2 linked regions of the Caenorhabditis elegans genome follow. The protein of the gene in region 1 purifies or fractionates together with the protein of each later gene. This does not show direct contact. Each region holds a gene or a part of one and is shown in the gene's direction. Other genes may lie near its edges.

Region 1 (11,786 bases):
GATACTGCAATTTCTGCGTCTGGCGAGCAACTTCCAACTTTTTCTGGAGATTTCTTCACTTATGCGGACAGAGATGATCATTATTGGAGTGGTAAGCATCAGGACAGAATCCAAAAATTCTTGTTTTCGAAGACGAAAAAAAAAGTTTTTTTTAATTTGAGAAAACGAAAACGAAAAAGGTTTTTCACCAAAAACACGAAAAAAATAAAACTTTGAAAAGTGATTTTGAAAAACTTTAATTTCGAGTGTAATTTTTTGGAAAAATGTAAAATTTAAAGTTTTATTCGTTTTCAATATTCCAGATTTTTTCTCTTTTTTTTTGTTTTTTTTTTTGAAAAAAGCAAACAATTATTTTTTTGGCCAAACACGAAACACAAAATAAACAAAACATTTTGTAAGATTGAAAAGCAATTTTGAAAAACTTAAACATCTATGTATCAAAAGTGTACTCTTTTTATAATTTCAAGTGTAGATTCTAGTTTTTCTGTTTTTCAGTATATCAAAGTTTTTCGCTTTTTTGTTCACTTTATTTTTTTGAAAAAAGCGAGAAATAAATGTATCGCTAAACAACTTCAAAAAAAACGAAAAAAAATAAATAACTAACAAAATTTTTTACCGCTTTACGAATTTTCAGGATACTTCACTTCCCGTCCATTCTATAAACAGCTTGATCGGGTTCTCCAACATTATTTAAGATCAGCTGAAATCGCCTTTACCCTTGCAAATATTGAAGAAGAAGGAATGGTTGAAGCGAAAATTTTTGAGAAGCTTGTGACTGCTCGACGAGCTCTTTCACTTTTCCAACATCACGATGGTGTAACTGGTACGGCAAAAGATCACGTCGTCTTGGATTATGGTCAGAAAATGATTGATGCTTTGAACGCATGTGAGGATATTCTTTCGGAAGCTCTTGTTGTATTGCTGGGAATTGATTCAACGAATAAGATGCAGATGGATGAGCATAGAGTTAATGAAAACCTTCTACCCGAAAAACGTGTCTATAAAATTGGGCAGTGAGTTTTTTAATGTCTCCATTTTCATTGATTAATTGTATTTCTTACAGAAACGTCGTATTGTTCAATACTTTATCTAGAAATCGCAACGAGCCAATTTGTATTCAAGTTGATTCTCTTGACGCTGGTGTCGAAGCTGATCCTCCAATTAAAAAACAACAAGTTTCGCCGGTTATTGCATATGATGAAGAGAAGAAAACGCTTGTTGTCAAAAACGGAATATTCGAAGTAATTTATAAAGGATTATCCTGAAAGTGACCATATAATCATGTCTTTCAGCTTTGCTTCATGTTATCACTTGGACCAATGGAGTCTGTCAGTTTCAGACTTGTGAAAAATACAACAACATCCAAAGTTGAAATAATCACCAATAATGCGGCAGAATTCAAAGAAACAAGTTTTAAATCTTCATCCACTTCTGGAGACTTTACTGTGAAAAACGACAAAGTTGAAGCTGAATTTGATGGAGAAAATGGAATGATTAAAAGAGCTACCAGTCTTGTTGATGATAAACCAATTGATTTGAATTCTCACTTTATTCATTATGGAGCACGGAAGTCAAAGAGAAAGTGTAAGTAATTAGATTTATTATTTGAAGATTATTAGAATATTTAGAACTATTATTAAATCTGAATGTTGTTAGTAATAGTAACGGGCTGATCGAACAGCGCGTTGAGTAGCTCTGAATGGAAGACGAGAGACAGTTGGTCCCTGGTATACTGTAGGAGAAGATCCATAGGATCCCATGGCCAGTGGAATCACCATTGGGTATCCAGAAGTTTCTAAAGATCATTAATGAATTAATAAAAATGAATTGATATCTGTTGACTCACTTGGGTACATTGGATATCCATTGAGTAGTAATGGTTGACCACCTCCCATCATCATATCAGATGCAGCGAAACGAGGCTTATACATGTTAGATCCATACGTATCTGAAGTTTTGAAATTTCCGATTTTATTAGGATAATGTGTGATTTCCACACAAGGTATTAAATCTCACCCATTCCCATCATACTGCTAGAAAGTCCATACGGCATCTGTTGCATTCCTTGCATGTTATGGATACTCTGAATTCCTTGCATTCCCTGTAATCCTTGAAATCCTCCCATAGAACTCATTGATCCCATGGACGACATCATTGGGTTACCCGAACCAGAATAGAATGAACTTCCGCTCATTCCGGGTCTACGAATATAGACTTCATCACGTTCATAAGGATTTCCATATCCTGAACGAGATCCCGAAGATGAGTAGACGTTATAAATAAATGGGTCGGCTGAAATAAGGGATTAAATAATATTTATCATTTTGTACGCATCCTAGTGCAGTTTATGAAACAAAATATTTCAGTAACTCACCTGAAACTGCGGATACAGCTAGAATAACTGCAGCTGCATAGAACATCACCATTCCTGCGTAGAAGCGCGAAATGATACAAATCAGCCGTTGACATGATAAACAAGTGATTGAAATAAGGCGATTTGGGTCAAGAGATGCATCCGTTCTTCACTCCTCTTCACTCTCTCACTTCTCATCCCTTCAAAATCTAGGCTTTTCCTCCAAATCTTTTGTTCGCTTTAAAAATGTTTTTCTTTCAGTCGCAAATGGAAATGAAGACAACCCGGCTGGCGCATACCTGTTCCTTCCCGATGGAGAAGCTAGAGAACTCAAAAAACAATCAAGTGATTGGATATTGGTAAAAGGAGAAGTTGTTCAAAAAGTGTTTGCAACTCCAAACAATGATCTGAAAATATTGCAAACGTACACACTTTATCAAGGGCTTCCATGGATTGATTTGGATAATGAAGTTGATGTACGTTCCAAGGAGAATTTCGAGTTGGCACTGAGATTCAGTTCTTCAGTAAATAGTGGTGATGAGTTTTTCACTGATCTCAATGGAATGCAAATGATAAAAAGGAGACGACAAACTAAATTACCAACACAGGCCAATTTCTATCCCATGTCTGCTGGTGTTTACATTGAAGACGATACTACCAGAATGTCAATTCATTCGGCACAGGCTCTCGGAGTTAGCAGTCTCTCGTCGGGACAAATTGAAATAATGCTTGATCGACGACTTAGTTCAGATGACAACAGAGGTCTTCAGCAAGGAGTTAGAGACAACAAACGAACAGTTGCACATTTCCGTATTGTTATTGAGCCGATGTCTTCATCGAGTGGTAATAAGAAGGAAGAACGAGTTGGATTCCATTCACATGTTGGTCATCTCGCTACGTGGTCTCTTCATTATCCTCTTGTCAAAATGATTGGAGATGCAACACCAAAATCTATTTCTTCGAAAAATGTGGAACAAGAGCTGAACTGTGACCTGCATCTAGTGACATTTAGGTGTTAAAAAATCTGAAATCTACAGTAACCCTCATCTTTAATCATTTTCAGAACACTGGCATCGCCGACAACTTACGAAGCCAACGAAAGATCTACGGCAGCTGAGAAGAAAGCAGCGATGGTGATGCATAGAGTTGTTCCAGACTGTAGATCCAGGCTTACCCTCCCAGACACGTCATGCTTAGCTACTGGATTAGAAATTGAGCCACTCAAATTGATCTCGACACTGAAGTCTGCGAAAAAAACGTCACTAACCAATCTTTATGAAGGAAACAAGGCTGAACAATTCCGACTCCAACCAAACGATATTTCCAGTATTCTTGTATCATTTTAATTTTATAATTGCTTATATGTAGTAGTTATATTTTCAGTTTTCATTACATTTCATGGGTATTTATTTATTAACTATAATCTTGTATAAGACGATGTAATTATGAAACAACGATTTCACACTTCCGGTTTTCATGTAAAATTTTTTTCGTTCCAAATAAATTGTTATAAAATTAATTACATCTTTCATCAAACTTCAAAAATGAAATTGCATTTTTAATAATTAGGAGTCTATTACGGAATTCATTAAATTTCAGAAAACAAAGTTAACTATATATTTCTCTAGTAGTTCCTTTCCCAGGAGACCCTTCCAAGATTTGTATCCACATGTTACCATAGTAACCACTCATTGCTTCTCGCTCACATTGTCTGCTCCCTCTCTTGGGGCTTATATCTCTTTCAAGCTATTACCTTCATTAGTATACATCTATGCCTCCATTTTCAGACGAAAAGATGACTGTAAGTATTAGATTTTAGTTTTCGCATTTTATTATTTCCATTTTCCAGAACCGGAGTATTGGGAGAAAAGTTCTGATTGATCAATCAAAACAGCAACAAATTAGTTTGATTAGTGGTTTTCGTGGTGTGGCAAGACATTTAAAAAGTGTTCTTACTGTTGAAATGTGAGCTTTTTTGGAATATTTAACATTTTATACATTAAATACATAGTTGAAAGATTTACGATTTATGATGAAAGAATACGATACCCGGTCTCGAAACGAATTAAAATCGGATCCTGCGAAGAAGCAGGTTTCTTGTATTTTTGTTTCTCATTTTCTTATTTTGAATTCTTTGGAATAAATATTCAAATTATACTGAACAAATTAAGCTGCTATTTAAAAAATAAAAAATAAAACGAAAAAAACAAAATATTGGAAACTACAGTACTCCTCGAAGTCGAGCAATCCTTTGCGCGGAATTGTTTTGCTCGCGTCGAGACCTGCTACCGTAATTTTTGCCAAATTTGAATTTCTCTCGCAGATAGATAATAATTTTTAAATTCAGAAACACAGAACCAATTAACTTAAATGGATTAGAAGATGTTCGGATGCTTATCATTCCACAACCAAAGACATCATTTGGAACTGGAGAGGTTTAGGATTTTAAATTTTATTAAATTTCATTTGATTGTCTCAGCCTAATTTTAACACCCAAAAAATTAAAATTTAAGATTGAAGCAATATGGAAGTTTGTGGAAGAAGGTGGTTCATTGATGATCCTTTCTGGTGAAGGTGGTGAGAGACAATCATTAAATGAAATGATTGCAAAATATGGAATTACTGTGAATAAGGGTATGTCTTTATCAAATTAAATGAATTACAAAAATCATCAACATTCAAGATTCGGTAATTCGTACTGTATTCCTGAAATATTTTGATCCGAAAGAAGCTTTAGTAGCAAATGGAGTCATAAATCGAGCAATTGCAGTGGCTGCAAAAAAGAATGTGAGCACTGAGCAAAAACATAATTCACAGTGAGTTGAACTATTAGCTTTTTATTTATTTAGGACAAAATTCGGTTTCCGATTTTCCAAAAATAAAAAAGTGATTTCAATATTTCAGAGCACTTTCATTCATTTATCCATATGGATGTACTCTAGATGTGAATAATCGTATGTCGAATGTAGTATTGTCTTCTGGAAGTACAAGTTTTCCAACAAGTCGCCCAGTTGCCGCTTTTCATGAGACAAAACTCAATGAAATGGTATTAGAATATTCTGAAATTGGTACATTAATTCATATTATTTTCAGAAAAAGAAAGGTAGAGTGTGTGTGGTTGGATCAGTCTCGATGTTTCATGACACATACATCGATAAGGAAGAAAATGGAAAGATTTTTGTAAGTGTATTTTTGATATGGTTCGAAATAAACTTCCCCGGTTGGTTGAGGCGTGCAGGATGCGCCTCCCACCCGCCTCTTAACTCGCCTTATTGGAAAATTTCAATTTCAGGATACATTTGTGGAATTCCTGGTCAATGGTCTTGAACTGAACACGATAGATGCTGCAGAGCCGGAAATTAATGATTACACAAATATTCCAGATCATATTCATATGTCCCAGCAGATCAAGGTTTGACTTCAAAAAATTATACTTTCTAGACAAACTAACAAACAGGTTTGTATGTACGAAGGAGAATTGGATCAGGCAATCAGTTCGGATTTCATGAAGATTATGGATACTTCGTTGCATTCTTTTAATTTGAAACATTGGCCAATGACTATAAGGTACTGTGCCCTAAATACTTTCCCCTGACTACAGAAATATGTTTGTTATTACTAAGAAAAAGATTCAAGAATCATGCTTTCGAAAATGGAAACACGGTTTTACCCAATCACCAACTTTGCGATGTTTTCCTGAAAATACGGTAGCTGGTCTCGACACGATCAAATTATTTACGAATAAAGTACGGAAAAGAGCGTGCGACTTTAACAACTACCGTAGTACCTCACTCTGTTTTCTAATAGTCAAAAGAGAATAATGAGTAGTGTCACACTACAGTACTGTTTAAATTTTTAGCATTTAAAGGCGCAAGTTTCCGCGTCCTTCTTTTGAAATTATTTCGATATTTGGAAAGAATATTAGAATGAAGTTTACAATAAGTTTTAGTGTAAAACATCATTTCTACTTGAATAAACATTTTTATTCTAGATTGTATGAAGCATTGAATCTTTCACCTCCACCACTTACCCTTGTTGAACCTCAATTTGAACTTCCAATGCCTCCATTTCAACCTGCAGTATTTCCACCAACATTTCAAGAATTACCAATGCCTCCTCTTGAATTATTTGATCTTGATGAACAGTTCAGCTCTCCGGAAATTCAACTTTCTCAGCTCGCAAATAGAAGTAAGAGTTTTTATTCAGAAAAAATAATAAATGGAATAGTTTCAGGCGAGGAAGAAGATCTCATATTCTTTATTGAAAAAGCTGGTGAAATTACTGGAATATCTGCTGAATTGACAAGAAGTGAACGAACCCCCAAGAAAATAATTGAGTTGGCAGTGAGCAAACTCATGTTATTCAAACGTTCAATGATGGATGGAGAGTTGGAAGTTGCATCAGCGTTCGATATTGGAGAGCATGATGCTCATCATCAAAGTTTTAATCAAGGCGAAGAGATGGACGAGCAGCTGTTCTCTGATATTGATGAGTTCGATGATTTGTGATTGATTTGTCTGGAGATAAGATAATAAAATATTCATGTTGAAAAAAAAACGTTTTGGATTTTAGTGGGCACAATTGAAACGATGAAAAATGACCCGATACGGAGAAGAAAATGGTTAAATGATTGGGATATCTAACAAGAAAACGGTAAGAAATTGGATGATTAAAGAATACACTGAATACCGGGTAACTTCAGGCGGTGGATGGGCGGGGCGTGATGAGGAGGAAGAATGTATGAACTGGGATGGTGATTAGATTTCAGTTTTTCATGACTATTCTTTTAGAGTTTAGAAAGCCTATGTATCAACTATAGGGTAAAACTAATTGAAATCTTAAAGTTTACTTAAATTTCTTAACGTAGACGTAATAACCAAGACCGGCAACTCCAGCAACTGCAGCTGCAGCAGCCACATTTCTGACGACGTCTGGATTATTGTGAATCCACGTGGCCAAATCGCTGGGTTCGCGTCCTTCTGGAACTTGCTTCGACTCTTCGACAACTGTGGCTTTTGTTGATGGAGCTTGGTGTGCAGAAGCTGGTGGAACAAACGATGGTTCATGTTCTGATTCTAAAACAGTTGGATCATTCTGCTCCTCTTCAACTTGGGCCTGTAAAACATTTGAATGGATGTACATGTCTTCGGTTTATATATTAGAAAACTTACAGATATGATAGGAATGGCTGCAGCAATTCCAGCGACTGCTGGAGAAGTATCAGCTAACTTGGCAGCTTCTTCCTTGTCAACTTTCTCGAAATCTCCCGGATCCGAATCGAGACTCTGACGAGTTGTGAGTGGAATCAATTTTGGTTCATCGTGCCCTTCTCCGTTTCCTTCGTCAGCACCATTATTCGAATCCAAATCAGTAGCGGCCAAGCTAACTGGTGGGCTTGGCTCTTTCACATAATGGGAGAGATCTTCAGCTGGAGTTGGTGCCTGAAACAAAAATCTATAAATTAGAGAAAATATCGTCCACTTAAAAATATACTCTTGAAAAGGTTACAAGACAATTTGCAAATTCGGACAATGGCCATTTTTAAGTGTAGCCTTATCGAAAAGATAATCATGATTTTCTGTTGGATTTTTGTGAGACAAAATTAAAAAAATTATAAATATCCAAAACGTCACACGACCGCGATTAAAAAAAAAACATTCCTATATTGGTTTCATTTTAAATTTTGATGGTGAAAACAAAAAACTCACTCTCGGTTCTTCCTGCTCCTCATGATCATCATTTTTTGGAATATCGATATCTTCTTGTCCGTAATTCTTTTCTACGACCAAATCCTTCGGTGACACTTCTCTTTCTTCGGACATGTTGACTGCGTCACCCGTCTGAAATTATATATTTTTAAAAGTTTATTACAAATATTCATTAAAATTTTCCAGTAAACTGTAATTTTCAAAAAAGGAACCTTTGGTGTTCTATTAATAGATCGAATAGAGAATGGTCTACGACGTTGAACGACAGGTGAGGAATCAGAAGATTCAGAATCCGACATAGTACAAGTAAAGTGAAAGGAGTCACGGAATAACTGGTGGAAGAGAGGACGGAATAGAGATACTAGCAGGTGAGATTGATGTGTTGTTCGTATTGATATCCTACGCTGCCTATGCTACTGCGGAAAAATCGGATGAAAAAAGAAGAAGATAATAGAAAAAAGAGCAACAGTAGGGCAGAAGTAGAGAAAAAACAAAAAAATATATGGGCTAGTAGGAAACGAAATATGAGAAGAACGCGTGATGACGCTAGGATGGACGTGATAGATAAGTGATATTTTTTGAAGAGAGCGTAACGATAACTTTAAAAAAGTTTGTGAAATAAGGATTCTGTTTGACGGAATTTCTAGAAGCAAATTGAAATTCTGAAACTGAAATTTCTGATACTGTTTAACTCGAAAGAAGCTGCAGGTTTTATGTACAAAAAACTTAAGCCTATCAATAATTTCAAAAACTTATCGACATTTAATTCCACAATATTGGCGAATAATAAAGTAACGATAGAATAACAATTTTGAACATTTTAATGGTACTGCAAAACATCAAAGTTGAATTCTTTTTAAATTTTAAATAAAATAAAAACACTTTTATTTTTGTTGACAAAAAACCAAGACCTGATCAGAAATTATTTTAAAGAGATCGATTCGAACAAATGTCGATGGTTGGCCGTACTGCTACCACTTTCGACCTTTCATCACGCGCCTATTTCTTCCAAAACATTGCGCTTTTCCCAATCAGTAAACAAATCGTCAACGAACCAGAGATAAATGTTTTTTTTCTTTCAAATTGATAAGAATTCTATTCATGATCACTGGGAAAACATCGAGGGAAAACTATGGAATCTATGATCTACGAGGGAACAAATTCATTGAGAGAAATAGAGAAGAAGCAAAAAGGAATTTAGAATGAAAAGAAAGAATAGGAGACAATAGACATATGGACGAAGCTGCCAATGTTGTCTCGCGCTTATTCACGTGAAACTTGGCGGAATAAGAGAAAGAGTGGCAGAAACCAATAGAAATTAACCGGATTCGATGAGAGTGCAGCTCACCGGGAGGAGGAACAGCAAAATGAAGTGAAAATGAAGAGAAAGCGGGTTCATAGCACCTGGCCGGGAAAATCTCGAGCTGCAGAAAGTTTGAAAAGGAGGGAGGAACACAGGAAAAACTATATATCTTTGAAAAATGAGAGATTTTGAGCGGGCAAAAACGGATAGGATAGAGGTTTCAAATGTTCTTTGTAATTTTGTTTCAAAATTTCAAGCGCCTCGAAAACATTTGATCTACTCTACTCAAAACAATATTATACAAGTCTAGTTATTTGTTTGTAGCAATTATTTTGCATGTCTGTTGAAAGTTTATCAAATTCTAGCTGTATTCTGGTGTTTAGTATTATTTCAAAATTAACATCTAAGGAATTGAAGACATGAGACATATGGGAAAGTGTGCGCATTTTTGTGATAAACATAGAACGCAGAACGAAAGAGAGTAAAACATGGGCGGTGGTTAGAATGGCTCTAACTGTCTGCGTTCAATGTTATGAAGATCTCTTCGTAGAGTTTCAGAAAGAATGAGTAAAAAAGTAAAACAAAAGGATGAAGCCGTGAGCCCATTCTATGATTGATTCAGAGGACACATGGGCGGTATAATGTAAAGAGAAAGAAAGAGAACAAAGTACACTCAGTCAAATGACGGCTGCAGCCGGACAGAAAAGAACACTGAGGTGTAGGAAAGAGACGAAGAGTATACAAATTGTTGACAGAAATCCAATGAAAAAACTAGTGCTGAGGTAACTGAACTGTTCGTTTCGAGCGGCAGTGGAATGACTTTATCAGTGATTGGAAATGTCATATGGCTTTGTTCGTTGCGAAACGACATGTGGTAAATGACTTGAAGACAACGACGAACTATAGACTATGACGATTTTTCTAAAGGTGAAGATTTTGGGATTTGAAATAAAAATTAGAAAATGAAGCAGAAAATAGAGAAAAACTAACAATGTAGAAGTTTTTCGAAAAAAAAATGTTTAAACAAATGTACACTAAATATTTTGAAATTTCAGAGAATATTTCTAAATACTCAATTAGATAATTACTAAAAAAAATTTCGGCACCTTTGAAATAAGCAATTACTGGATATATTAATGAAACAACTCTGAAGGTTATGTAACCACATAAATTATTTTTGAAGACATTTAACTTTTGAAAGACTTACCACCATTGGCGTTGATTCTCTATCATTTTCTTTGAATATAACATCTATTTTCTGACAATCTTTGAAGCGATGAATCTGATCAATTGATTCGACTAAATCGTTTTCCGGTAATGTGAATATCATATCGACTTTCTTTCCTTTGCAAGCCTTTTCGATTGTCGTTTTCAGTCGTTCAACGTCTGAACCGCCGGGAAGGGTAACTCGTTTGTATGTTTCTTTTCCTTTTTCCACGCTGAAATAATAAAAAAAATATCATTACTTTTCTGAGAGTGTAACTTTACAAACCTGGTCCTGACAAGCAAAAATCGTGTTTTATTGAATGAATCTCGTCTTCCGTAAGAGTAAGTTGGAGAATTGAGTGGACCTGGAGATCCTGAACCATTTGAAACAGAAGAAGCTGGCGGTGTTGAAAAGTTGTCAAATGAATTTTTCATAGCATATGGGAACGGTGGATTTCGAACGTAATTCGGAACAAAACCGGGAGATGACTGCTCACTGGCATCTGATGTTCGACGAGATGCACTGCCTGAAGAAATACATGGAAATTTAATGGAAAACTTCTAAAAAATCTTACTTCGAACCATATTTTCACGTTCCTCTCCAAGTTCTAAAACTGCTTTCAACTTGTCTTTACTTTCTGGGCAAACCTGAAATATAATCCGAATTAGCGAATAAAAATAATAAAACTAACGTCGTATGGAGTTCTGTTCTTATTATCTTCTGCGTTCAAAGCGTATCCGTCTTCTATAAGAAGGAGAACGACGTCGTAATGTCCGCGATTTGCCGCCCAGTGCAAAGCTGTCCTGAAAATAAATAAATAGTGATAATTAGGAAATTTTTAAAATTGGCTTCTTTAAAAGAAAACTATTTTGATTTGAAAAAATAGCCTAATTTCAAATTGGCAACCTAAAACTACGATCATAAGCTTTATCTTATTAGAATAATCAAGCATTTATCATTTAAAAAACTTGTCAACCCCACTTGGCCACTAGTCTTCAACTGACCGAGTGTTTGACACACTCTCAAAACACACAAGATCCTAAAAAATCAGTCACAGACTGCTGCTCTTTGTGCAAGAGGGTACTCTGTGAGAACGATAAAGCTCTTAGTGGATATCATTTCCCCGCAACAACAGTTGGTATCCGCAACTCTCGTTAGCCACTATAATTTACACAAAGTCCACTAACTTCTTCAGTTTCGTGGATTTATCACAGA
Region 2 (11,365 bases), on another chromosome or scaffold:
GATTTCATAGTATCGCGTTTTGTTCCTCATTCTGATTTTGTCTGCCCTACGAGTTATGTGTGCCCGCCCTCGCAACAAGGATTGACTTGAGATTACCAGCAAAAATGATTGAGAAAAACTAATTAGAAAACGATTAAGTTGCTCATTATTTCACTTAAGTGTTGTTTTGTTGGAGGCTTTTATTCTTTCATTCGGGAAAATGAGAAAAAGTCTCTGCAGGCAATCTAACAAAGCAATAGTTTCTCAGTTTTTTAGCTCTTGAACAAGTGTGAACATGACAAAAAAAGTTGGAAAAAAAGATGAACAAAGTTATAAGATATAAGTTGCAAGAGTTCAACAAGTCTCGAGTTGTTTCACACAATTTGAGAAAGTGAAGTGCTCTTTCCGAGAAAATAACAAAAAAAAGCAAGAAAACCAGTGCGGAACCGTGAGAACTTGAATTGAATATCTATCACACAACATACCTGAAGAGAACTCCGTTTTGCGAGGACCAGAAAATAAAGTGCCTTGCGACGTTCACAAAGGTTGTTGAATGACAGCGCAAGTGAGTAGTATGATCGCAGTTGTCCCGATATGTCTTCTAAACTCCGTGCAATTTTAAGATGACGTTGGAAATAGGTGATTGCTGAAAATAAGCTTAATGTGTTATTGATGTTAAATTTTGAGTATTAGAAAATATTTTCAAAGACGTGAATGAACAAGGAAGACGGGAAAAGTGAATAAAAGAAGAATGACAATTATTTTATTTGCCTTTCTCTGCATGACGTGTGATCAAATCAAGAGTTATTTTTCATTGGGGTTTGTTTTATTTATCTGATGACAGTCAGTTGTCTCAATTTTCCCACAATTTGTCAGAAAAGACAAGTGAATTCGAATAGCCTCCTCCTATCTGCTCTCAATTTTTTAGGAAGAACAAAAAACAAAAGCGCACATACACACACACATACCACGAGGGCTGGCCAATGAAGAAAAAACACGAAAAAAACACAAGAACGAGGAGATGAGGCGACGAGTGGGAGAAAAACGATGGAAACATGAAGTGACGTGAAATTGGATGGTGATGGGAATGAATTGATTCACCCGGACTCCATACTTGATTTTAAATTCAAGAGTCTTCTAGTGTTTACAATCGGGTTGCAGCGGTTGCTCCGAGAGCACTGAAAATGAGATGGTTACCCACACCAGCACCATCACAAAAAGGAGAACAACAAGATGACAAAAAAGCTCGTCAGACAAAAATATTGGACATAGCATCACATTGGATTTTTTTCTTTTGGTGGTAACTATTCTAGAAAGGGTTGTTTTAAGATTCATCTATATGTGACAACAATCAAGAAAACTCGAAGATCGCAGTTTAGAAACATGGGCTCATCTTTGCTTAAACCAAGCTGGGGAGATGACTGAGCCAAAATTTTGTTGACAAAAATTATCGCTTATAAAACTCGAACGGAAAATTTAAATAGATTTTAGAAAAAAAAGAGTAAAGAAAACCCTAGTGTTCGTTATCAAATGTTACTTTTGCTAATACACCGAATATCCCTTTTTAGTTTTTAAATCAGAAGATTGAAATTGTATATATTTTTGAGAAAACTCAATTATTGCTGCTGATTCTTACATCGACAACATTAAAGTACAAACGATTGAAATACAATCAAAATTTTATCGCAAGCTCGTAGACAAATAGTTTTTCCAAATTACTATAGGTGAAGAGGGAGTTTTTACCACTTTTTGATTGAACATAAAATACTTTTAAATAACTTTCTGAGGTTTTACTATGTATTTGGTCATTACTTACAAGTAGTTTTTTTTAGATATTTAAACTTTCTTCTGCTAAACCTTGCCAATAAAAGTTCGAAAACTTTTATTCAAATTTTTTTGACGAAAAACGAAAACAAGCATAGAAAATAAAAACTGGAGACAGAAAAATATGAGAAGGTTCTGGTGTGAAAGGCAATTTGAAGAATTCAAGTGCAGCTGTAAATTCGAAAATTTTTCAAAAATTTTCTCAGAATGTCAGTTCAAATGACTATTATTATCGCGGAGCACAATTATACCCGAGAGTGTTTGTAGAATGAAGACGGAAATTTTAACATGACTTGGTGGGGTGTTGGCACGTTTTTTGCAAAGAGATATATGCGAAATTCGTTGGCTTGTTTATCAAATGATGCACAAGCGAATTGTCACATAAGATGTCATATGTTAGAGCTGACCAGCTGTTTGTGAACAGAACATAGAGTGAAAAAGAGCTTTCGAGAATGAGGACAAGTTGCCGGAATAAAGAAAAGAAGAGAACGTCATCAGAGCAAAATCTTGGTAGCAAGAAACGAAAAAGAAAGGAAAAAAGGCGTTATGACCATTGATGAAATTCAATAGCCATTACCCGTGGGTTTTGTGGACCCCGTCTTTTTTGCAGGATCTCATGTACGCGGCCAACACCTAACACCATATGCCACGTGACAACACGTACCTTTCTGGACTTCTTTACCAATGTAGAGGGCGTTGGCCAACGAGTAAGCCATTTGAGCTTCCTCTGTTTTGTTGCCAATCTCAATGGCCAGGTTGTAAGCTAGTCTGAAAAAAAAACATGCTGATTCAGATGTACAAAAAGATAACTCACTTATAATGCTGAATAGCCAGCGGCATGTTCGACTTCAACGCGTGACAATTTGCGATATTGGCGTGAGCGCGACGCATCGACGCTCGGTCTCCGTATTGTTGAGATAATTCAAGTCTCTGGAAAGAATGATTCACGAATTAGGTGTTGTTCACATGATTGTTTATTCAGGGTGTGAATGAGTCGCAAAACGTCTTTGACTTTTCTGACGTGAGTCTCAAGACCTGCTTGGACTTATTTCAAAGTAGAGAAACAAAAAATGAAAAGAAAGACAAGAGGTTTGTCAAAAGTTTCTCAAATTAAAAATTCAATCTGGCAAGAAGTAAAAGGAAGTGAATGCTCAAAACCCAACGTTCTATGATATATGTCCAGTTCTTTTTTCTTAGGTTTCTGTGTTCCTCAAATTTCATTATTCGAATAAAAAACAACATTTTCGCAGTCCTGATTGGCTTCATGTTTTTCTTTAGAAAAAAACAGGGACCGGGAAGTTCAGAGTATAACTGAATGATTTACAAATTCAAGGTCACACGCCCGTAGCAACTGAAATTTGAACTTTGTTGTTTGGTTGAAAAATGGAGAAAATTTTTTTTGAGAAAATTGGACGTCTAGCTTTCCTATTCACCTGACAAAAACAAACAGCGTTTTCTGTCTGTAATGTGATCGGAAATGAGCATTAGGTTTCGGAAACTCGATAATCACGTGGTGAAAGTAAAAAACTCCTAAGCTTGAAACTTGGAAAACGAGATTGGCCTTAAAAGGTAAAATAGAAATAAAAATATCCTCATAAACTTTTGATCTACGCGTTGAAGGCAAAAAAAAAACTAGATTTCCGGTTTGAACCACAAACCACGCGACATTGCATCATCACATCCGTTCCGAAAAAGGGTTCTTACGTATTTTCAATAAAAACTCACAAGTTTATGAAAGTGGATAGATTGGTCATAGTCTCCAAGGCAATAATAAGTATTTCCTAAGCTGCCGTAGCATCGCCCCATCGTCAGCGCATCTTCCGATTTTTCCGACATCTCCAGATTTAGCCTGCAAATTTTAAAATCTTTATTAGGAAGATTGAAGTAATGAACTCACATAAAGTACTTGGCAGCATTCTCAAAATCCGAAGTGGCTTCTGCATTTTTGGCGTCATTTTTCTCTTCAGCAGCTTCCAGTTTTGTGCATCGCCCTCGCTCCACATAAATCGTCGCAATGTTGTAATAAGCTCGAGATTTGAGAACCTGAATTTTTTAAATGGAAAGTGTAAATTATCTGAATGCAATTAGGAGTTTCATTCTTGAATAATTGCGTTGTGCCTTATTTTGAAAAGCTGAAATATTTCATAGCAATATTCACAGCTGCTTCTAACAAGTTTCTAGGCAAGCATTCTGGAATCTTTTGGAATATACATTTTTATTTGAAAACATCTGAAACTTTTTCACCCAACTCGATCGAGAAATGTTTCAAGCTTCCAGAATGTTTGCATACCTGTAAACTTTCCGAAAACCACTAGAAGTTCGCAAAAATCAACATTGGATGCAATTTCACAGCTCTATTAAATATTGATCCTTTTCAGATGGTTTTTATGGTAGTTCAACGTGCTCTTCTGCCGCTAAATTTTTTGTGGTAACCTAGTTTGCAGGTCCCCTTTCAAATGACATAGATTTCATTCAGAAGTCTCATTGTAGGCTGAAATACTTTCCTTGTAACTATGGTTTATGTTGGAAACTTCGAAGAAAATTTAAGATGGAACTTTGTACATGTTTGCTAGCACGAAAATAATAAATCTCCTGTTGGTATAGCAACGGGTGCATTTTTTTTTCAAGTACAAAATCAAGTTCTACTCACTCTATCGCCCAACTCTTCGGCAAAATCCAGCTGTTTGAATGTGAAGGTGAGCGCGTCGTTGTAAGCGCCTTTCATCTTGAATATATTTCCCAAGTTGGCACACGACTTTGCTTCTCCCTCCTTGTTTCCAAGCAATCTGAAATTTTGTTTATTTTTTGTTTAAATTTCTTTCGCATTCGTTACCTTTCAACAAGAATGTCATACGTATGGAACTTGAGAGCTTGCTCATAATCTTTAAGCATTGTGTGTGCATTTCCGAGCTGACAATAGATAGCCGAGAGTAATGAAAAATCATCTGTGCCTACTTCCAACGCTTTTTTCAACAAGTCGATGCCTGAAATATTCAAATTCAATCAATTATTTACAAATAATAATAAAAAAGAAGTTACCTTTCTCATACTTTTGCATGCGAAAAAGACGTTCCCCTTCCTGTGTGAGCTTGTAGCAGGAACGGTCCTGCATCGCACCTTTCCCCGCTGCAAAAAAAAAATCGATTGATATTCTTCGATGACAAAGATTTCAGAAATCTGCACAATACTAGAAAAAAGGAGAGAAACACAAGCGATTAAGATTGAGAAAGAAGAATCGAAATGTGGTCTTTCAGAACAGAAAGGGTGGTCAATGTAGAAAAAAAGGTATTTGAATGATTTATTCGAACGAGTACGGACCAACAAACTCCTCTGTTTGTTCGTTGCACGGCCGCTCTCAGTACATGGAAAGAAACGTCCTTGCTATGTCTGCGGCAGCTCTCTCGTTCACTCCTCACGACAGATGAGCTAGTAACCGCGCGTTGACGTCATTTGTGTAAAGACGGCTAGGAAGTATTGTTTCGAGCAAAATATTTGTTAATTTAAAATGACAAAGGAATATAAACTGATAGTCTTAAAAGATACATTACTCAAAAAAAAACTCTCATATGAAAAATATAAATTATTACCTTAGAGTATCAAAAGTTCACATTTAATTACCACTCACTCAAAACAAATCTCTAACCACAGTTAATTACCAACAAACTGATTCAACTTGTTCAACTTCTGTTCCCTTTTCAATACTACTTGAAACATTTCACACTCACATAGCAAAGAGCCCAGCAACAACATATATTTACGTCGTGTTGCCCTGGTAACCGGGAGCGCTGCTCGACGAGCTCGCGTTTATTGTCATCACTAACGGTGTATCCTTAAGATGTCGAACGATATTCAAGGGTTTATTCTCCACTTTTTGAATGAAGAGCCGTTCAATCTCAACTTATCATCACTTCAATTCGACCAATTACCACCGCAGCAGTTGCTCCAAATTTTGAGTAATGTTTTGAGGTTGGTTAAGTCAAAAAAAGAAATTTAAAAAATGCGATATCGAGAAAAAACAGTTATGGTGTTTAAAATATTCACAAAAATTTTCCAGAAACGTGTGCTACATTTTTTGTGACAATTAAAAAACAGCTACTTTATTATTATTGTATCGTTATTTTTTCAAGAATTTTTCAAAGAAATATAAATAAATTTTTTTAATTTCTAAAAATAGCTTTACCTTTAATTGTACTTTTGGATGTTGCTCAAAAAAAGGCACAAAGTTACAATGTGCGTGTTAAATTTGCTGGTTGGCAAACTGATACTAATGTCAGTTTTTGAGCAATCTTCTTAAACTTTCTATTGAAAGTAATTATTTTATAGATTGCTGTGTAAATTTAAAAAAAATTTGACACAACAATAAAGAAAAGGGGTATCAGCAGGTCCACTTGGGTAGAATGTTCAAAAAATTCGGTTCTTTCTTATTTGTTTGCAAAATTTCAAAAGTCATAAAAAAATTAAGAAAAATTTGAATAAATTTTTTACAAACACATAAATGCTCTCACTGATAAAATTGAATTTAATAATATAAGAACAACGAAAATTTTTAAAATGTTCAGCTGGGTTTCCGACACGGACCGAATTGATATCAAAAGAGAGGCTGCTGAAGAGACTGCAATTCGTATTCTGAATATGCTCCGAATTCTCCGCTACAGACCACCGCAAGACCAGGATGAACAGTTCGTGCAAAACGAGGGCAATCACTAAACAGCATCTAATTTGACATTATATTACAGGGAAGAATGGCGTGCAGGGATTGTCGAAGGTCGCAAGACTAGCCTCTATCCTCTTCTGGTTTTTCTTTTTGAAAACTCAGAAGGTTTGAAAGAGCGCGCATATTTGTCAAAATATTTGATGAAGGTAATGAATTGCTATGCCAAAAGCCGACATGTTATGCTAGTGGTTTCTGGGGGGAGAGAAATAGATGTTGTCATTATTTTTTTTAAAAGAAAAATGATACATAGAGAACAAGCATCGTTCTGCTTGAATAGCTGATATAGTAGGCAAGACAGCCGAAGTTTTTGGTTTAGTTAGTCTCTGATCTAGGTACACATTGAATTAATGAATCAAGAAATGGCTAAACAGCTTCGCACTTTTTTGTAATTGGAAATACGTAAATTAATTATTTTCAGACAGATGTACCTGGAGAATTCTTCGATTATGATATTGAAGAGCTGCAAAATGAGATTGGAGAGTTGACAATGGAGTTTAAGGTTAATCACATGAGAGATTAGTCGTCACGATAGTGGATGAGCAAAAAAAAAGCAAAAACAAAAAAAAACAAAACAACTTTTCTACAGGAAATCCATGCTGAAATGAAAGGAATAATGGCAGACGTACTCTTGCTTGATGACATAAAAGAGGATTTAAAGTCAATGGAAAAAGAAAAACAAATTTTGCTCCGAAAGATTGAGAAGACCGAGAAGAAAGTGCAGAATATACCATATTTTGATAAGTAAGTTCAAATAATGTGAAAACTTCAAAAAAAAATTGTTCAAAAATAACAGGAAAATGTAGTCAAAATTTAATTAATTACTTGTTTTATGCGAAAAAAAGGAAAATTCGTTTAACAATAGAAAACTAATAAAAGTTTTCACTGACAAGTGAATTTGCTATCTGAATTCATCGTGTTAGAAAACCTCAGAAAAACTGAAAAAGCCCGGCAAATGAGCTCAGATTTTTTTCTTTATTTTTTTTGATTTTTTTTTGAAATTTGTATTTTGCCTGATTTTACATATTTCAAAACATTGAAGGTAAAAAAACAGCTCACTTGAAACTTTAGAGCTGTAAACTTTATAAGCTGATAAGATGGATATTTCCGATCATTCTTGTTAGTTTCTAACACATTTACATTGCTAATATATTTTTAAAGCAATTTTTGAGCAAAGCTTTTGGCCTGTATCGGTATTGCTTTTAAGCTCTGGTTTGACTCATTGTCAAAAAAATTGAATATAAGGCTCATATTTTTACTACAAGTACGATAAAGTCTGCTTCAATCATAATTAAGTAGAAAACAATAAATTTACAAGCTTTTTGCTAAATAACGAGCGCTATGCAAGTGCAGATAGAAATTTGCGGAAAATTGTCCGTTTTTCATATAAACGTAAGTAAGGGAGTTCTTTAGCGTAAATTATAAAAATAAAAAATAAAATAAAATGAATTTAGTATAAAAATAAAACATAAATTTTGGCATTTTTCAAAATAGCCAATCGTTTTCAGACAAATGCAACTTGCATTACAATTACGCGGAGAGAAAACCCGATATGCAGATTTTGCAATTGAAAAACAACAAGAACGGCAGAAGGTTGGTTCTTTGGGAATTCCATTTTTTTATCTCAAAATCAAAAATAGACCGAGTGAAATATTTTCCTTTTTCTTTATCTCCGACGTAATTTTTTTTTGCTCTCCTGACAAAAAATGAAAGAAGAAGTACAGAAATAGCGAGTGCAATTTTTTTGTTCTCGAGTGTGCGGCTTCTTCCTTCTTACTGCGTTTTTTTGGCGCAGCGAGCATCAAAAATCAGAAATTCTTTTCTGTTTAGGTCCTGAACATCGAAGCCAGAATCAACCGAATGAAAATCAATTTGACGGAGGCTCAAGCGGTCGCTGACACATTGGATGAACAGGCGTTAATGGAAAAATTAGAGGTTACTAGACTTATTTTTCTCGTCTTCTCCTATCTAATGACGACAGAGGGTTTCTTAGGACGAAGTTGCGACGAACACTTACTTAGTGAATGGCAAGTTGTTTCAAGAAATTGAATCAAAGGAAAACAAGTTGAAAGAGCTGACAGCCATGGCAAGGTCCAATTCAGTGCGGGAAGAGGATGTCAGTAGAATGAATTCTGAGGTAAGCTTAAAGATACCAGGCTTAAAGATCTCTGCAGATTTAACTTTGGGGAATTTTATGATAAATGTGCAGCCGACAGTATATATGCAACACTGACCTCACGTTTTAATTAAATTACCATTAAAAAAGGAATTAATGCTATTGGAGCACGGCTACTACACAGATACGTTGCCCGAAATACAAAATTTCGAAAGCAAGTTGTTAGCGAAAATTAAAAGTTTTAGCGGGAACTTCAAATTTTCTGGGAAAAAAATTTGGCGAAAAATTTAAGTATTCCGAAAAATTTTTTCGCGGAAATTAAAATTTTCTCGGGAATTTTTTTCTGTGGGATTTTCAAATTTTCTAGGAAAACAAACTTGGCAATAAAGTTTTTCTGAAAAAAATTTTGATAGGAAATTCAAATTTTTTGTAAACAAAAATTAGCGGGAATAAAAACTACATTGATGTTAAAAAACTGCTAGAATGATTTTGCTATTTTTGAAAATGTATACCAAATTTAACAAAAAAAAACATCCAAAATAAAATTGTCGCCCAGCTTAAACGTGGCTGCACTTTTCACTTATTTCCAAGGTGATTACAAAATTAAATGATGTAATTACAGAAAAAAGTTGTATGTTTTAAGAGTTAAAAGCTATTCAAAAGCTTTTTTCAAACGTGGGCAAAAACAAATAACAGAGCCAAAGAGCGAAACAATGGCTTCAGACGTCAGAGAGACGAAAAAATTTTCCAATTTTCGTCTGACCAAAAATATGTTAATTGTTTACTCCCAAGTCATCTTAAACATGGCTGATCAAAGCATGAAAGAGTTATTTTTAAATTCATCATTCAGATAGAGGAAATGTCAAAACGAATTCGAAAACTAGAAGACGAACGGGATCACAAAGAAGTGGATATTGATGAGAACATGAGGTAAGTGCATGCTCATTTTGGTCTAGATGTTTTAAAATTGTGCTTGCTGAAAATTTCAAATTTGTTGTTGTGTTCTTTGTGCAAAAAATATGAAATCTGGTCTGGTTGCTAATGAACAAGGAAAGGCAAATCTAAAAGCGGACAGTGGCATCACTCGGTTTAAAAACATGTGGATGATGATGGTTGCTGCTAAGAGACACAATCTGCGTATTCTTCTATGAGTGTTAGATATTTATTTAGAAAAGAAAATGAATTTGTAAGGGATGCTTCGACAAAAAACTTTAAATTTTTTTATCATTATTAAAAATAATGAAAGTAGTGTATCTTTATTGCGGATTTCGTCTTAAGACACATAATTAACATGACCGAATATGAGCATAATACTCTCAAAACTAAAAAAAAGATTTTTAAAAATTTTCTGAATTATAACTAAAATTTGAAAACTGTGGAACAAATTTTTGTTGACTTTCATTATTAGGACGGAGTTTTTACCATTTTTTGACTGCTCGGAAAATTGTCCTTTTTAGAATACTTCCACTATGATATTTGGTAATTTTAAATTTATTTGGGTAATGTTTAAACAAATACCCACTGACGGTAATCCCTCTTTAATACGCTCAATATAGATCCAAGGTATTTAACTTCCTAGTTTTTTGTCACTTGTTTTTTTTTAACTCGGCATTTCTAGAGCATTTCAAGCAAAACCAGGTGATGAACTTAAAACTTGTGAAATTGCGTTTATCGTATTTTTCCTATACGTAAAACATTAGAATATCTTTTTTTATATTTTCCCAAAACTGACCTTTTTTCAAAAAAACATATGAGGTGTTTTCAGTGTGTTTCGTCATCAAACTTCCCTTCTCGAACGCAAAAAAGAAACAGCGGTGCAGAAATTGCAAGAATTGAGGTAAGTGAGTGTAGATGGGCTTCTTCTCTTTTCGGCTTTTTTTTTCCAAAACGTCCTATTTATTCCACTGGGAGTAGGAAATTGAAAATGGGAAAAAGCGAGAAAAGTGATGGGATTTCAACATTTGATTGACCCCATTTCTCAATTTCCTCAAAAAAAAGATTAGCGAAACCACTTTATTCTTAGAAAGTTTGCAAAAAACTGCAAGAGTTGAGGAAATTAGAAGCTACCGTATTTGCGACCAAATGGACGTGACTTTCAGGCAAGAACTTGCGAAAATTGAGAAAGATGTCGATGAGCGTAAAACCAATCTCAAAGACAAAGTGGGCGGGGAAGTTGTGTCAAATGTTCAGGTGAGGCGAAATAATTTGTAACAGTATAATACTATTTTTTCAGTACCGAAAATATTTAGAGCAATACCGTGTGAAAAGTGAAGAACAAAAAAAGAAAAGGAAGGAAATTGAGTTGATGCATACCGAGGTGGCAGTGCTTAAAAGAACAATTGACATTGTTTCCAAAAGATACAATAAATTGGAAACGCACATTGTGAGTTGCGTGATTGTTGAGTTGAATGTTGAATAGAAAAAAAAACGCGAAACGGCAAAAATATATTTTGGAATTCTTGAAGTTTTTAGTGATCTTTTTCCAGATAGCTGTTTAATAATGAAAAAAAAACTATTTGTGCATTATCAACATCAAACTTTTAAATGTATCAGATACCTCTGCTAACATATGGCAGTTTATGTAATCTCTCACTGAATTATAATAGCAAAATTTCATTCAAATGTATTTGTAGTTACGGCAATCGCTGTTTGATATTACCCAATTGTCGATTGCCAAGCATTTTTTGATTAAAAATGCTGATTGTCAAAAATTAGAATTGCCGAAACTGTGATGA

The links.
Region 2: the proteins of osm-6 (region 1) and ift-81 purify together in Caenorhabditis elegans (affinity purification with mass spectrometry, with the first as the bait; one study listed by BioGRID). This does not show direct contact.

The regions. Positions count from the first base shown.
Region 1 is NC_003283.11:11,919,745-11,931,530, reverse strand, and holds osm-6 (Intraflagellar transport protein 52 C-terminal domain-containing protein), read left to right. Parts: upstream 1-4,084; 5' UTR 4,085-4,124; coding exon 4,125-4,154; intron 4,155-4,202; coding exon 4,203-4,318; intron 4,319-4,700; coding exon 4,701-4,788; intron 4,789-4,866; coding exon 4,867-4,987; intron 4,988-5,036; coding exon 5,037-5,169; intron 5,170-5,257; coding exon 5,258-5,399; intron 5,400-5,446; coding exon 5,447-5,533; intron 5,534-5,645; coding exon 5,646-5,765; intron 5,766-5,810; coding exon 5,811-5,920; intron 5,921-6,344; coding exon 6,345-6,541; intron 6,542-6,586; coding exon 6,587-6,861; 3' UTR 6,862-6,910; downstream 6,911-11,786. Other genes in the region: F58H1.2 (uncharacterized protein), read right to left, coding at 1,653-1,795, 1,847-1,948, 2,017-2,292, 2,375-2,426; aman-2 (Alpha-mannosidase), read left to right, coding at 1-91, 635-1,013, 1,064-1,241, 1,293-1,584, 2,615-3,365, 3,417-3,699; R31.2 (ANK_REP_REGION domain-containing protein), read right to left, coding at 7,199-7,468, 7,525-7,794, 8,062-8,193, 10,572-10,803, 10,857-11,097, 11,146-11,218, 11,263-11,374.
Region 2 is NC_003284.9:5,293,112-5,304,476, forward strand, and holds the start of ift-81 (Intraflagellar transport protein 81 homolog), read left to right. Parts: upstream 1-5,449; 5' UTR 5,450-5,520; intron 5,521-5,553; 5' UTR 5,554-5,584; intron 5,585-5,615; 5' UTR 5,616-5,638; coding exon 5,639-5,769; intron 5,770-6,362; coding exon 6,363-6,482; intron 6,483-6,539; coding exon 6,540-6,663; intron 6,664-6,935; coding exon 6,936-7,016; intron 7,017-7,103; coding exon 7,104-7,258; intron 7,259-8,022; coding exon 8,023-8,107; intron 8,108-8,344; coding exon 8,345-8,449; intron 8,450-8,507; coding exon 8,508-8,651; intron 8,652-8,658; exon of another isoform or gene 8,659-8,679; intron 8,680-9,480; coding exon 9,481-9,560; intron 9,561-10,362; exon of another isoform or gene 10,363-10,395; coding exon 10,396-10,467; exon of another isoform or gene 10,468-10,489; intron 10,490-10,729; coding exon 10,730-10,820; intron 10,821-10,863; coding exon 10,864-11,013; intron 11,014-11,365. Other genes in the region: ags-3 (Tetratricopeptide repeat protein 28), read right to left, coding at 465-625, 2,468-2,571, 2,618-2,733, 3,529-3,652, 3,701-3,846, 4,454-4,589, 4,637-4,787, 4,843-4,915.